Linked DNA regions of Mytilus edulis. The protein of the gene in region 1 purifies or fractionates together with the protein of each later gene. This does not show direct contact. Links are inferred from orthologs where the notes say so. Each region holds a gene or a part of one and is shown in the gene's direction. Other genes may lie near its edges.

What was found.
Region 2: the proteins of nucleolar protein 56-like (region 1) and ribosome biogenesis regulatory protein homolog purify together in Homo sapiens (co-immunoprecipitation; 3 studies listed by BioGRID and IntAct, with this or other methods). This does not show direct contact. The link is inferred for Mytilus edulis from reciprocal best matches to the Homo sapiens genes NOP56 and RRS1.

The regions. Positions count from the first base shown.
Region 1 is NC_092347.1:5,497,064-5,504,574, forward strand, and holds the start of nucleolar protein 56-like, read left to right. Parts: upstream 1-4,483; 5' UTR 4,484-4,577; coding exon 4,578-4,580; intron 4,581-6,816; coding exon 6,817-7,024; intron 7,025-7,511. Other genes in the region: polycomb group RING finger protein 1-like, read right to left, coding at 358-499, 1,314-1,418, 2,040-2,381. UniProt on the Homo sapiens protein: Involved in the early to middle stages of 60S ribosomal subunit biogenesis. Required for the biogenesis of box C/D snoRNAs such U3, U8 and U14 snoRNAs. Part of the small subunit (SSU) processome, first precursor of the small eukaryotic ribosomal subunit.
Region 2 is NC_092352.1:17,452,370-17,460,221, forward strand, and holds the start of ribosome biogenesis regulatory protein homolog, read left to right. Parts: upstream 1-4,843; 5' UTR 4,844-4,882; coding exon 4,883-5,034; intron 5,035-7,852. Other genes in the region: rho GTPase-activating protein 44-like, read right to left, coding at 4,601-4,671. UniProt on the Homo sapiens protein: Involved in ribosomal large subunit assembly. May regulate the localization of the 5S RNP/5S ribonucleoprotein particle to the nucleolus.

The DNA.
Region 1 (7,511 bases):
TAGCTTACTATACATTATTGGTTTTGCTTGTTCTTTGAAAGTGGAAAATGACAATTAGTTGCTTGAATCTCAGTTATTTGATCTCTGCCATTCTGGTGGATAGTTGTCTCATTAACAATCATTACACAACTTTTTTTTATTTTTCATGGTGTTCAATGGTTAAAACAGAAAAAGAACTCATAATAAAGAAACAAAATTTATCAAACTGTTGATCTTTTAGAAAATGGTGACCTAAAGAAAATGTTCACTGATGATCAGATGCATGTTATAGAAAGTTTAAAAATGATTTGAATGTAATCATCAATTAAAAAATACACATCATTTAAATAGATAAGTAATAAACATAAATGAGCTTACACGTATGCATGCATTCTGTAATGGTTGAAGCTTCATACAGGTATCCACCACACAAGGCACATGTGATGTAAGTATTTATAGCACACAATCTCACACTCACTGGTTCCTTACTTAAACTTGGACATACTGGAATTTGAGCTAGCTAAAAATAAAAGTTATGATAAAAATTTCAAATATCTAATTGAGCATCCATAGTATTAATTTATTGTAACAATCATGTTATGTCTCACTTTAGATACAAAATAATCTCTATGAAAATGAGAAGTTGTAAATGCTTAAACAATTTCATACAAGATATCATTGACTTCAATTAAATGTTTTATCTCAAACTGACCTAATCATAAAGAAATAACTCCAGAACGATAAAAGTGACCCAACAAAATTCTTACTTGATCTGATATTTGTGGTAATAAGGATTGTGTACAAGTTTAATAACATTTGGTTGAGGCAAAATTAAGTAAGAGAACCGAAATGAAAAAATTCAGCAGTTTTTAATTTTTTGGGACATAACTCTAGAAGGGTAAAAGTGACGCCAGCAAAATTCAAACTTGATCTGTGTTTTTTGGTAATAATCATTGTGTAAAAGATTCATAATCATTTGGTTGAGGCAAACTAAAGTGAGAGAGCCGAAACGAAATATTCAGCAGTTTTTAATTTGTAAAAGAGCATAACACTAGAAATTTAAACTGACACAAACAAAATTCAAATTTGATATGTGTTTTGTCGTAATAAGCATTGTGTATAAGTATCATAACATTTGGTTGAGGCAAACTAAAGTTAGAGAACGTAAATCAATTTCAGGACGATGAAATACGGACAAGGGTTCAACTTAATGCCCCCTCTACTATGGCCAAGGCATAAAAATAGTTCTTTAACAATATTACAACATATTACTGAAACCAAATTTTATATGGTAAATCTGACTATATCAACAACAAAAATTATGATTTAACCACCTGTTCTTTCAAAGATAATTTTGTTTCTGGTTTTTCCTCCGACTGGCTGTTGTTAAGGACTGTACTACAAGATGGTTGTTCTGTGTCTTCATTGTTGAGATTGCTCTGAAAAATTCACATTAACAACTTTTATAATATCCAGTCTATATACTAAGATTTATACTGTTTATCTTCTTAAAAAACACATCGTATTCAATAAAATTGAGAATGGAAATGGGGAATGTGCCAAAGAGACAACAACCTGACCATAGAAAAAAAACAACAGCAGAAGGTCACCAACAGGTCTTCAATGTAGTGAGAAATTCCCGCACCCGGAGGCGTCCTTCAACTGGCCCCTAAACAAATATATACTAGTTCAGTGATAATGAACGCCATACTAATTTCCAAATTGTTTATTATGACACATCTAATGAATTATTAATCATTTGTTAATTGATAATTAAAGTTTAACATGTTCATAACAGTGCAAAAAAAATTCTAGTTCAACAAAAATATTGCCAAGAGATCTCATGACTCATGTAAACTATTTACTTAAAATGAATAAAATTGAGAATGGAAATGAAGAATATATCAAAGTGACAACAACCCTACCAAAGCGCAGAAAACAGATGAAATATTTTGTTATTCTATTGCAATTGTTCCTATCCAAGGTACATGTAAGTTAAAGAAAAAAGAAGTTATATTTAAACAGCTAAGATAAGCTTATATTAAATGTCCATACTTTACCTCTGTAGTATTTAAATTTTCATCAACCTTTTCATCCTTTGCATTGTCTTTTTGTTCAATTGAATCTACACAAAGTATAGTGGGTACTGAATCATTATCACAAATATTGTCTTCAAAATGTAAGTTGCATAGTCTTGTATGGTCGGTTATGAGAACATCTGGTTTTGCTTGTTTTATTTTCCCTAACCATACTTCACTTCTGTCATCATCAGTCCCTGGGAGACAATGAAGTGATATCTTTTCTTCATTCACTATATGTTCTTCATTTTTAGCACACAAAACACAGCACAATTTTCCTTCACATTGTTCCTTTATCTCTGATGAGGTTTCACAAGTTTCCATTGAACTGAAACAAATATTAACTTATAAATGCATCAATTATATTTTATTTATAAACCATACTAATGTAAATTATGAACAACAATCTTAATCATTCATATTATGATTTATAGCATATTTTTTTTTAATGGTAGATATAATTGCATAATTCATGGTATATGTAGCTACAATTTGTTCATGTCTGTTTCTAGACATAAATATATTCCTCCCCTAATAGTCTTCTCTATCTTGTGTAATTTTTGTTTGGTAGAATGATTGAAATATACATATAGATCAATATTTTACTAAGGTATGATGGTTAGTTTACGATGGTTTATTGCATTGCATTTCCCATCATGATTTCCTTGATAGAGGGTTGCTGCTACAAGGAAGCTTTTAAACCACGAGTTCCAAATGGTGAAGTTGAAATCATCCCTTCGTAAATTTTATGAAAGCCATCACACGTTGGTTGACCGTTATGGAATAACGGTTTCACAAATGATATCGGATATGTTCTTTAAGTCATGTAAGTCCTAACTACAATCCTCATCCCTTTCATGAATATGACCTACCGAATTAGGCTAAATTACCGGATTTTTTAAAACATAAGCAACACGACAGGTGCCACATGTGGACACATCTGCTTACCCTTCCAGAGCACCTTAGATCACCTCTAGTTTTTGGTGGCGTTCATGTCGCTTATTCTTTAGTTTTCTATGTTATGTCATGTGTTTTATTGTTTGTCTGTTAGTCTTCTTTCAATTTTAGCCAAGTGTTGTCAGTTTATTTTCAATTTATGAGTTTGACTGTCCCTCTGGTATATTTCGTCCCTCTTTCATTATTGTGACAGGTGAATAAATTCACTTCAAGGTACATGTAAGTATTCAATATAAAAAAAGAAGATGTGCTATGATTGCCAATGAGACAACTCTCCACAAGAGACCAAAATGACACAGAAATTAACAACTATAGGTCACCATACAGCCTTCAACAATGAGCAAAGCCCATTCAAGTTTGCATTTGCGAGTATCAGCATGACATCTTCCTTGCAAAACAAGTGCAATATTATTAAGATCAGATTACTTATGTTCTTAAGTTTGATATAGGGGGTTTTGTTCCCAATCTGTTATCGAACCTGAGTCTGTTCACCCAAATGCATGTTCTCTTTCACATTCTCACCTGACATGTTCACACCCTGTGAATCATGAATAATGTCATGATGAGCTGATTTTATATAATTAAGTCATTCAACTCTAAGACTTGTAACAGAAAGACAGAAGTTTCCTAACAGCTATCAAACTTGTCACAAGCTGTTAAACAGACCTGATGCTAGCTCATAGGTACTTATGTAGTCCAAATAATTATGACGTCTTATAATAGCCTTTCAAGAGGTCATAATTATTTGGACTAGTACTTATGCTATTTTTTTACTTTTTTAGGACCTATGAGCTACGGTTCTGCAGCTAGAGATAGTGATGACCATACCAAGGGGTGTCAAATTAAAACACCTTATCGCTAAAACCCGCTGACCCGGCCACTTGAACTTTTGACGCATACAACAATCACTTTTCCATTGCCATGATTGCGGCGTCAGATATTTTGTTTTAGGACATCAAAATTTTACAGAAACCTGTGTGATCTCCAGTAATGACAGACAAATAGCGATAAGGTGTTTGGGCCGAATTTGTATGCGAATTTGAGCACTCCATTGGGATAGCAGAACTTTTTATAGTTTTAAGGTATAACTTTAATTCCTGTGATTAAGGTTGTGCGGTACTTCAATTCGTTTCTTATTTTTTATTACATCAGGTATATATATATTGAAATATACTGTTAGCTGATTACATCTACATGATGATGTTCTAAGTAAAAATTAAAATTTAGAAAATCAGCACTCTTCTCTTTAGTCTGATGAATAGTTCATGCATATCTCCTTATTATTAGAATTTTGTGGTATTGCTATTCATTAATCTGGTCATTCTTGTTTTATGTTTTACCCCATAACCAACCTTACGACTGTTGTTTAACCTTAAAACACGGAAAAGTTGCATTTTGTAACTGACTTTTTAAATGCAGACGCCATTGTAAACTTCCGCCTATCACAGGGTTTGTAAGACCTCTCCTTATTGGCCATTTCCTGAGATCTGTGTGAAAAGAACCAATGAAAAATCATTTAAGATAAGGACTATTCTTAGTGAATGGCGAAAATTGTTTGTAAAGATGGTGAGCACGTGGCTTTTAACTTTTTGAGTACATGCACAAATCTAATTATCTTATTTTATACATAACATGTTTAAGTACAAAACTTTGCATAGGCAATCTTCGATTCCAAAATGTCAATGCTTAGACTGTGCTATTTTCCATAGATTTATTGAAATTATCAGCACATGCCGACTGGACATGTGGTCTGATTTATTTTGAGCGCAGTTTAAAAGCATACCATCAGCTGGTATACATGTACGATATGGTTGTTTTTCACTGACGCGTTATAGATGTATACTGTTGGAGTGTTTCTGTACATTGACATAGCGAAAAAAAATATATATTTAATTGAGGGGTTGGAGGGGGGTTGGCTGTCACCAATTTGATTTGGTTCTGGTCGTTCCCTTAGGCAGCAACCATTTGATTTTTCATGGGGGGCTATGGTTTTTTGTGGAAAAAAAAGTTTGTTTCCAGTTTTTGGAGAAAAAAATAATTTGTTTTTGATTCTGAGAAAAAAAAAATGTTTGTTTCACCCTCAGCTGCCACTATATGTAATGATAAAATTGAAAGAACAAAATTGTTTTCGACTTGTCGAAAAAAAATTTGTCCAGAAAAAAAAACCATAGCCCCCCCCCCCCCCCCCCCCCGAAAATCAAATGGTTGCTGCCTTATATTTGATTGGTTCAAACCTGATTGAAAACAAAAAATTTTGATATTAAATGTGGGAGACCTATCATTTTTGAAAAAGCCTGCATTATTTATTTATTTTTCTTTGTATCTCACCATACATGAACCACTTACTTGCAGCATGTACATACATATTCACACCCATTCACATTGACATTCACACTCTTTTACTTTCGCACCCCACATGTTCATGCCCTAAGTCTTTGCACCCTTTTTATTGGTTTGTGATTAATAATTTTGTAATCAATCAAGTTTGGTTAACTTGTGTATATAATATGTAAATATTTTTCTTCATTGTTTCAGATAAAAAGTGGTTCTCTAATCTCACTGGTTTTTTTTTGTGTTGAATAAATCTTAATCAAGTTTTGGTTACTGGTAGCTTTTTTTATGTTTCAAAATAAAGTGAGATTCTTGCGGTTTTTTTTTAATGCTGAATAAATCTTAAATAGTGTTTTGGTTAGTGTATGCTTTGCTGTAAAATTAATAAAAAAAAAAAAAAAAATCATTGGTTCTAAATAGAGTGACATTATGTCAACATCTAGTTTTTGATGTTTTTGTTTTTGTTTTTTACATCAAAGCAAGTTCAAACAACAATTCATCATGATTATTAAACATACAATAGCTGTGTATAAATACCAATTAGCAATTATTATACATAAGTAAAATTTAATAGGTAATCTTCAAATTAATAAAAACGACATTTCATATATAGTAATTCACCAATTTTATTCAGGAAACTTTTGTTTTATGGTGTAAATATACATATAAATTTTAACTATTCAACTGGAAAATATTAAAAATTGGGTGTGAACATGTAGGGGCAGATGTACCTTGGACGCAAACGTGTAGGGTGTGAAAGTACTGGGCTCAAACAAACCTGATATCACCAAATATAGCCAATCTTAATTCTGTCATCAGTGGAATCAACATTTAGGTTCAGTCTGTGGTTCAAGTTTTTGTAAGACATCCTCATTATTATATGTCCTGTATGGATTTTGACGAGTAATGAAGTCGAAGTTGAATTACATTGTCTTACTTTCATGTCATCTTGAAATCTGGACAGAAGCTAGTGTATAACAAAAATACAGTTTAAATCAGAGCAAAATTTATATAATGAAAACTATCCATTTAGTTATAAAAAAACATGTGCATCAATTTAGTTTAATTTTGCGGCTCATACGACTTTATCAAGTAGATACAATGTACAGTCTAGAGTGTTTGTTGCACATCAATTACTTTGTGTAATGTTCAATAAAACTGGCAGAAGATTTTTAATGATTTAGAGATAGTATCCAAAGCAAACTTTTAAGAATATAGTTTTTAGGTAGATGGACTTAGTTTTTTACAGTAAATATTCATAGACAGTCTGAGATTAAATGTATTTGGCAAGTTAATTAGTAAACTTTCATGGAAACTTATGAAACTTGGACAACAGCAATCACAGAACATCTTACAAAATTTTTAGATATATATATAAGATGGACATATGAAAATCATTTAAAATCCTGACTATTACATGTATTAATGTAGTATAAATAATAAATTATTGTAAAAAGTTTTATCTTTTCAGGCTCAAGTATTGTTTATTTTGTATGAACATGCGTCAGGGTATGCTCTGTTCAGAGTGAAAGAATTTGAAGAGGTATCAGTATTACAGAGTCAGGTAGAGAAATGTGTAACAGATCTCAGCAAGTTCCAGTCTGTTGTCAAACTAGTGGCTTTCTCACCATTCAAAAGTGGTACCAATGCATTGGACAACATTAATAGTGTTTCAGAAGGTAAACATTAGAAATTTTGCCAAATTTATGATGTATTTTTCAGTTCTTTAAAGTTTACATATTTCAGCATAAATTTATACATCTAAGTTAAATAGTTTAACCTTCTTTGTTCTTTTTTATTATACAAAACAAATTAATGTTTTTACCTTTTCTATTTTTGGGATACGATTGCTTTCAAGCAATCTGTAGACTTTTACAGTTGACTCAGGGCTCATTCCCTCACGTCAACCGTTTTATTCTAAACATTCAGCAACATCTCAGATTCTTATGATTGTCTTGCTTTAAATGGTAAAAAGAAGCAAAAAAATGAACATAAACAACTTTCCTGTAATGTTCTTCTCATAATCTTCATGTTTAATATTTCCCTTGACTTATATGCGTGTTTTTAACAACACGGAAAATCAAAATTGAGCAGTATTAATATTTAGTGTTTTTATAAATTTAGAAACACGTCAGAGGGATTTCCCCAGTTTAGATAAATGCGAGA
Region 2 (7,852 bases), on another chromosome or scaffold:
AAGAAATAAATAGCAATAAATTTAACTAAACTTTAAAGTACAATCCATTGAATATATTATATGTTTAAAATACTATCCACATTAAATGTGAATTTAAAAAAGGGTACAAAAGTTCACATAAAACTTGTAAACATTGCCTCCCACTATGTCTACCATCAAGTGAAAATATCTTCAAGTCTATAGAAACCAAAAAATTAAACTATAAATTTTGATCGTTGTTTATTATCTAGCTGTTAGATTGTTTTTGTGAGTGCACTCTCAGTGCACACATCATATCTATGCTTACATTTAACAAGATTTCCTGATAAGACAAATTATGGGCGTGTGATTATTTACATAATATGGAAGGAACCAGTCAATTACAGTCCTTGTGTATATATCTCATCATTTAAGTACTCTCTCTACTTTGGAAGTACTTCATCTCACTATGATAAAATCTATCATGGGAAATTTTAATTGTTCTTTTTCCTGTGAATATATTTTTTATAAAGTAACTGTTATTAGAAAAAACTAAAATGAATGATGAGAAACACAATATTCTTATTGATTTTGTTGATAACCTATATTTTCTTTTTGATAAATGATTAATTTTGTATAAGAAATATTTCCCTAATTTTATCTAAAAATTTCACAAATAATATTTAGCTATTAGTTAATCATATTTATCCACAACTCTTAGATGTACATCACTATAACTACAATGCATGCTATATAGTTAACCAAACTTCAGCTTTGTAGCTTTTAAATTACAGTATTTGGGATGGATATTTGGATAAATAATCTAGGACTCAATAAATAAGATTATTTTTTGTTATGTTTATCTATTCAATTTTGGTGTAGTAATTAAGAACATAGTGTTCTTTATCAATATATTACTGGTAAATCCTCTCTAACATTAATTTCTTCAACCTTTTGATTGAGTCACATGCTCATGAACATTAAGGAAATACATTGTACCATTAAGGGAAGTGTAGACTTAAGGAGAAATGCAACATACACCATTTATGAAACAATAGAAAGTCCTGAAATAAATCAAATTTCATAAAATCATAAGAATGAAAACAGGAAATCTGATAATGAATCTGTATTCTGAATCATTCTGTTTATCTAATTATAGATTTGTTACTAATAAAATACAGTAGTTTTTATCAGATCTTGACAAGATACTGGTGTGTTACAATAAAAACAAATGTTTATGAAAAATAGACATCTGTCTACTCCATCTAAATCTAATATAATGGAAACGTAATTAATATGTAAACAAAAAACTGAACATAACTTCAATTCATGTTTGACCATGATAGTACATACAGTTGTACTATATCACCATAGGTTTCTTACTACTGTACAATGTACATGTACAAATGTATCTAAAAAATAAACTCAAAATGTATGCAAAATCTAGAATATTTCAATGAAGCTTAATATACAAATGTACAGGTCATACATTGTAGTGACCTATCTTTTAATATACACCCCTTTTTTACACTTCCCTTCAGTCATTAATTCACATATAAATGCAAATTCACTTTAGAAGATTGAAAATTTATCTGTATATCAAACAAACATTTAGCAGTATATATTTAAGGCCAGTTGATTGATCTTCATAATCATTGATTTCTAGCTCTTAATTCTGGGTTCTCCAGGACTCATGAAAATCTGTCTACACTCATAAACATGCTGAATTGTATGCGAGAAATTTCATAATTTTTCTTTATTTCAAAGATGTATTCAAGTTATGATGTATATATATGCAAAAGATTTCAAGAATTTTAAGAGTCAGTCCTGGTATGCATTACATTTAATAATATCTTAACCTAAAATTCATTTTCTTGAAAAATCAGGCAAAAAAAACAAACTGTTATATAAATTCAATATAATTATCTGCCATTGATTGTAAACTATTTTTTCCGAAAATTTTTAATACAATATACATTTATTGACACTTAATTTTTATAATAGTGTAATACTTATATTTACTTTAAGTATTTGATGTTCTTATTTTTTTTTAATGAAACTTGACTGAAATATTTTTAGACCAAAAAAAGTATTTTTGCGACATGACATTGAGCCAAAGGAATGCTCAGGATAAGACATCTGATCTACCATGAGCACATATGTACATATACTCATTCAATACCACATCATATGCACATTGACAGATAGAGTATTGGACAAAAAACATAATTATTCATAAAAATAAGGCGAAAACTTTAATCTTATGAAAATGGTTTGTGTTTTGTGGGGTGAGTCAACTTTTAATTTGTAAACATAATTTTTATTAAATTTAATACCTGTATTTTTAACTCAGGACTGTCATCACTTTAATTTTTATAAACAATATTAGGTTTGAGTTAATTACTGAGAGTAAAACAAAACACACTAAAATCTGGTTTTGAAGTTCAATTAGATTTCACTATAATCTTTTCAGAGTCCTAGCTACATGTGTATATATGGTATAGTAATTTCTGATGAGTTTTCTATTGGCCTTTAGCAGCTAAATTAGCTTTACTGCAGTTGAGTAATTATAGTAAATGATATTTGACTGCTAGACTATGCAGTGTGAATGAATAAAATAAAATATTGTAAGGTACCACATCAAAAGTTCAATGTAGGATAAAACACTTTTAAATTCATATAGTTTTTTCACTGACCCCCCTCCCCCTACCCTTCTCTTAACTTAATTTGTAAAAATTGATTAAACAATAAGGATATATATATGTAAAATCAATGTCAATTAAACAAAACTTGCAGCAATTTTGACCCCACCCCCAAACTATTTGAATTATGTTTTTTATCCTTCATTGATCTTTTGATGTCATCCCTAATTGAACGCATTTCTGAAATTTTATAAGGTTGTTAAATTCTTGACAGCAACACATTTTGTTGAAGCACACAAAAGCTTGAAACTAAAAAAAAATCTGCATGGTCATTTCTACATGTACACTTTGATTGTATTTTGAACTTCAAGACATTGTTCCTAATACCCTTTGAAATGAATTTCAAAAAATTTGTACATGAGAGCACTCACAAAACTGACACACCCACATGATGGATGGAGGGAAGCCTAGGGCTGTATGCCCCTATGTTTCTGGTTACAATTAATAAAACCCAATAACTCGGAAATGTAAAATGTAAAATCTATAAAAACCAAAAGGGAGCTTACGTCAACAGATATATATTAACTATCAAAGTTTCATGAGAACTGCTGCAAAGCATTTTTTAGTTATTATCTGGAAAATCCCCCCTTTTTTAATTAATAAAACCCTGTAAACTGAAAAATCCCCCTTTTTGGATGAATAAACCCCACAACTCGGAAGCGTAAAATCTAAAATTTATAAAAAAAAAAAAAAAAGGGAGATTACGTCAATATATATAAACAATTCACCAAAGTTTTATTCAAATTGGTTGAAGCGTTTTTGAGTTAATGTCCGACATGTTGTAACAGACAGACAGACAACAATATGCTATAATTCACCAATTCATATATTATACATTTCGTAATTTTCCATTGGTTTGGTTGTATAAATATAAACAGATATGTTACATTTTAGCCATTGTGAATACTTCTGATAAAAATTCAGATCACAGTCTGTGTCAGTGAATTTAAAAGACCACTTTTGAGTATGTCTGTCACCGTGAAAAACTTGTCAATTATGCGCGCTTTTATGACGTCATTTACCAGATAAAGGGGACAACCTGTATCTCTGCACTATAAACATACATCAAGTATCTTAGTGATCTTCATTGTGCAGGATATATATATAATCACTATTCACTAAGGACAGCAGTGCTGAAAGACAATTATGAGAGTTCAATTTGCAGAATAATTCGTGCAATATACCGGGTAGCTTTGTAGTTGTCCAACCACTCGCTCAACATTGGAACAGAAGTGAAGAAGCCCCTAAACGCATGAATGATGTTTACTAAAACCAAAAATTTGACAGAAATGCATTGAACTGTGGTCTATTATTTCAATTCACATTTCTCAAAATTTGATTGTTTGAAACTTTATTTTTTAGAAATGAAATAAGTTCTAGGGTCTGGGTTTAAACTAATTATAATAATAATAATAATTCTTTATTTAAAGAGGTTTACACAGTTAGCTAGGGTAACTGGATCCACATATATAGTTTTATTAGACCTAACTGATAACGCCTGCACCATATGATTATCAATAGACAATTTTCAAGTTAAATGTATGCCCTTATCCGGAAATGTTCGATAATCATAAGCACCTTTATGACGTCATTTACCAGGGGGATTGCCTGTATCCCTACCCTTATAGAGTTCATCAAGCATCTTCATGATCGTCATTTTTCAGGATACACTAGAAATAATGGTTGTTTTGAAGGTACTTTATCACAATTCCCTAATGACAGCAGTGCTAATTGTGAATTATAAGAATTCAATTTGCCAAATAATTCGCCTAATTTTTTCTAAAGCTCACATGGGAACATGTCTGTTTTAAATACTGATCTTCGCTTATTCTTTATTTTATAGCATGGCACATTACAGATACAGATAGATCTAGGCTATAATTTCAGTGTTAAGAATGGTAAAAATAAATAATTGTCATTTTATTTATAATCTAACTCACCTTCCTAAATTTTGATCAGCGAGTTGTTTCGCTCTCATAAAATTCTTGCGAAGATTCTCTGGCTTAAACATTTTGATAGTACTAATGCCTAAGCATTTAGGGATAAAATATAACTAATTTATGTAGGGTTCATGATTGCAGTCCGTCAATGTTGTGTAGGAAATTGATTCTGCAATATACTTCCGGGAGAAATATTTTGTAAAAACTGTTTTGATTGGTTTAAACTTTTTCAATTGACTAATCAGTGTTAGTCTATTATTTATCGTTGGATGTAAACAGAAGATGGCAGACCTCGTGGAAAAAGTTTTGAGAGAAGCAGCTGAAAAGGAATCAAAGTTTAAAACTATAGAAGTTGAAAAAGAGATTGATGTCATTATAGATGAAGGAAATCTCCTTGTGTGTGACACAAATCCTATTGATTTTAAATTACAAAAGTAAGAGGACCTCCATAATTTTCAAAAGTAACTCAGTAACACTAACACTTACATGCATGAACAGACTAACTTGTTCTTGTATCATGTTTATATTCTATGGTCAAAAGTCGGAGTGTCTTTTTACGACAGAACACCACAGAATACCACAGAACATAAAAACAAACAACAAAACAACTTAAATATGCAACATAACATTAAAATAACTTAACAAAATGCATGAACTAATATTAATTAGACGGTAAATCTAAATTTCATCACCGATTGCAAACCGCATATTAGTCCGAGATTACTCTGACATATAACGGCTGTTTTGGCAGACAAGCTGGGGCCGTGGGACGTCAGAGCTCGTCTCATATCAAAAAGTGGATATTTGCCCACCCAAAATAGATGCGGTACCTCGAATGACTGAATAACACTGTTAATATCCGAATAACACTTGTAATGACCGAATAACACTTGAAATTTTAATATTAGCAACATATTTGTGACTTTTAAACATTGATTATTAAATATTAGTACATTATCGATGTATTTTGTTACTTAAAAATGATTTATAGAAAGCAGAAAAGTTCTCAAAAAACTTTTAAAATTTAGTGTGTACATCCAATATGGTGACCACGGAAATCACAATGGCCGCCATGATCGATGTACACACGAAATTAAAAATTATCTTTATGCACTTATCTGCTGTCTGTAAATCATTTTAAAGTTATAAAATACATCGATAATATATTATCATTAAATAATCAATGTTTAAAAGTCACCAATATGTTCTTATATTAAAATTTTAAGTGTTATTCGGTCATTACATGTGTTATTCGGTCATTGTGTTACCCAAATAGATGCGCTACTTCGTCGCTTCTGGTGCAGACTGGTGGCCTTGGAATTATATAAAACGGGCATCAATCAATCTGTTCATTTTTCATTTATCTCTTCATTTATGTAAGTTTCACCTACCTGCCACCCTTTATTTTCTCATATTTAGACAGATTTCACAGTAGAAGTTCTATATGGGCTTATGATGTCGTTCTTGTATAACCAGTGATTTCAACAAATAAACACAATGTTTGATTAATATCTTTATTAAAACATGCCCTTTTCATATTATGATATCATATCACTTGTTAAATGCCCTTTTTCAGGATTGGAACCCTGCCCTTTTAAAATCCTAGCTGGAACACTACCTATGATCTACCTTAAGTCTTCTGCCACATGCATTGATGTCACCAATACTTGAAACTAATCTTCAACACCTGGCGTAATCACCAATTAGCCAAGAATTAAGGTTCATCATAACCTTTTGGCTAAAATGGCTGTATTTACACCACAAATTTTACTCTGAGTATAGACACACCTGTGCACCTAAGTCATGGCTGGACCTAGATAATTAAATTTTAAATGCATTTTTATGGTTCAGAAAATTATAAACTTTTCTGGATTTTGCTCTTCATTCTTTTTTCATTCCTGCAGCAGGTGCAAAAATAAACTAAGTTGGTAAAAAGTTTGAGAAACTCCCCTCATATAATCGATGTTGTGAGTAGTATTGATTTAAATGGACAATATATTGACGATAGACACCTGTAAACAATGTAACTTTTATATATCTAGGCCCTGCCATGCCTGAAAACTTTCTTAGATGCATCAGTTTGTCTGTATTTTGATGAACCTTAAATAATTTAAAAAAAGTTTTAAAGCCAATTATATTGAGTGTGTAGGTAGAGGTAATATCTTGTCTATCTTCATCAAGAGTTCTCATGTCACTCAGGTGTGTCGATCTACCTGTACAAGTAATAAGTGATCTTTAGTTGATATCCCTCAGGGCTTGGAAAATGTAATCAGGAGTACCCTTTGGATTATAATACAATACGCCTACAGATTAATTATTCATAATTGCTAACAAAAATGGCAGTGGGTAGAAAAACAAAAACTAATTTTGACAATGAGGCAGGGGTGTGGAAATATTTGTTGTGAGCACTTGTCCCAGGGCAAGTGAAACCTAAAATTTTACTTGTCCGTAAAAAAATTTACTTGCCCTGATGATCCCAATAAATATTGAAGTATTTCTTGTTAGCTAATATATGATTCTAACTTAGACTAGCACTGTTGTGCATCACAAACAAATGAAATCTATTTGTTTATATGCATGTGTAAAAAATTAGGAAAGTAGGAAATGGGTTAACATCAATAGGACAGCCTGAAACCTAACAGCAAACCAACCAATGAAATGACATGTAAAGGACAATATTACAGCAGTTTTTGAATAAAAATTGTAGCCAGTAGGTACATATACTAAATTTGAGGACAGTGATTGAAGAAATGTAAACTAAATAATAGATAAACTATTAATTTTGTAGTGTTTCTCTCAACTGACACACTTGTTTTTTTCTTGATTATTTATTATTGTCTTGATGGGCAATTAAAGCGTCCCTTCTTTTACCACTTTGACAACAAATAATGTTGATCTTTCATCTATAAATAAGACAAAAACTTAATTTTTTCCCCAAATTTCCATAGCCAGGGGCAATCTGATATCCACGATGTCTGAAATTCTCGCTTCCATTTTTTTTTAAAATAATCTGTGTCCTCCATTTACATTTAAGGTTTTCTACTCGACTTATAACTCTTTTTGTCTTGCTTGCCCACCTTTTTATTAAGTATTTATAAATCAATCTGAATCTCGATACAAAAGGAGTAGGTCCGGTAAGGACCGAATTTGGCCTCAAATTTCATGTTCATCTGACGAAAGATTTTGACCACTTTTTAAACACTTAAGTGTCTATTTTATTTGAATTAATTAGTTTATGTGAAAGATTTTAAC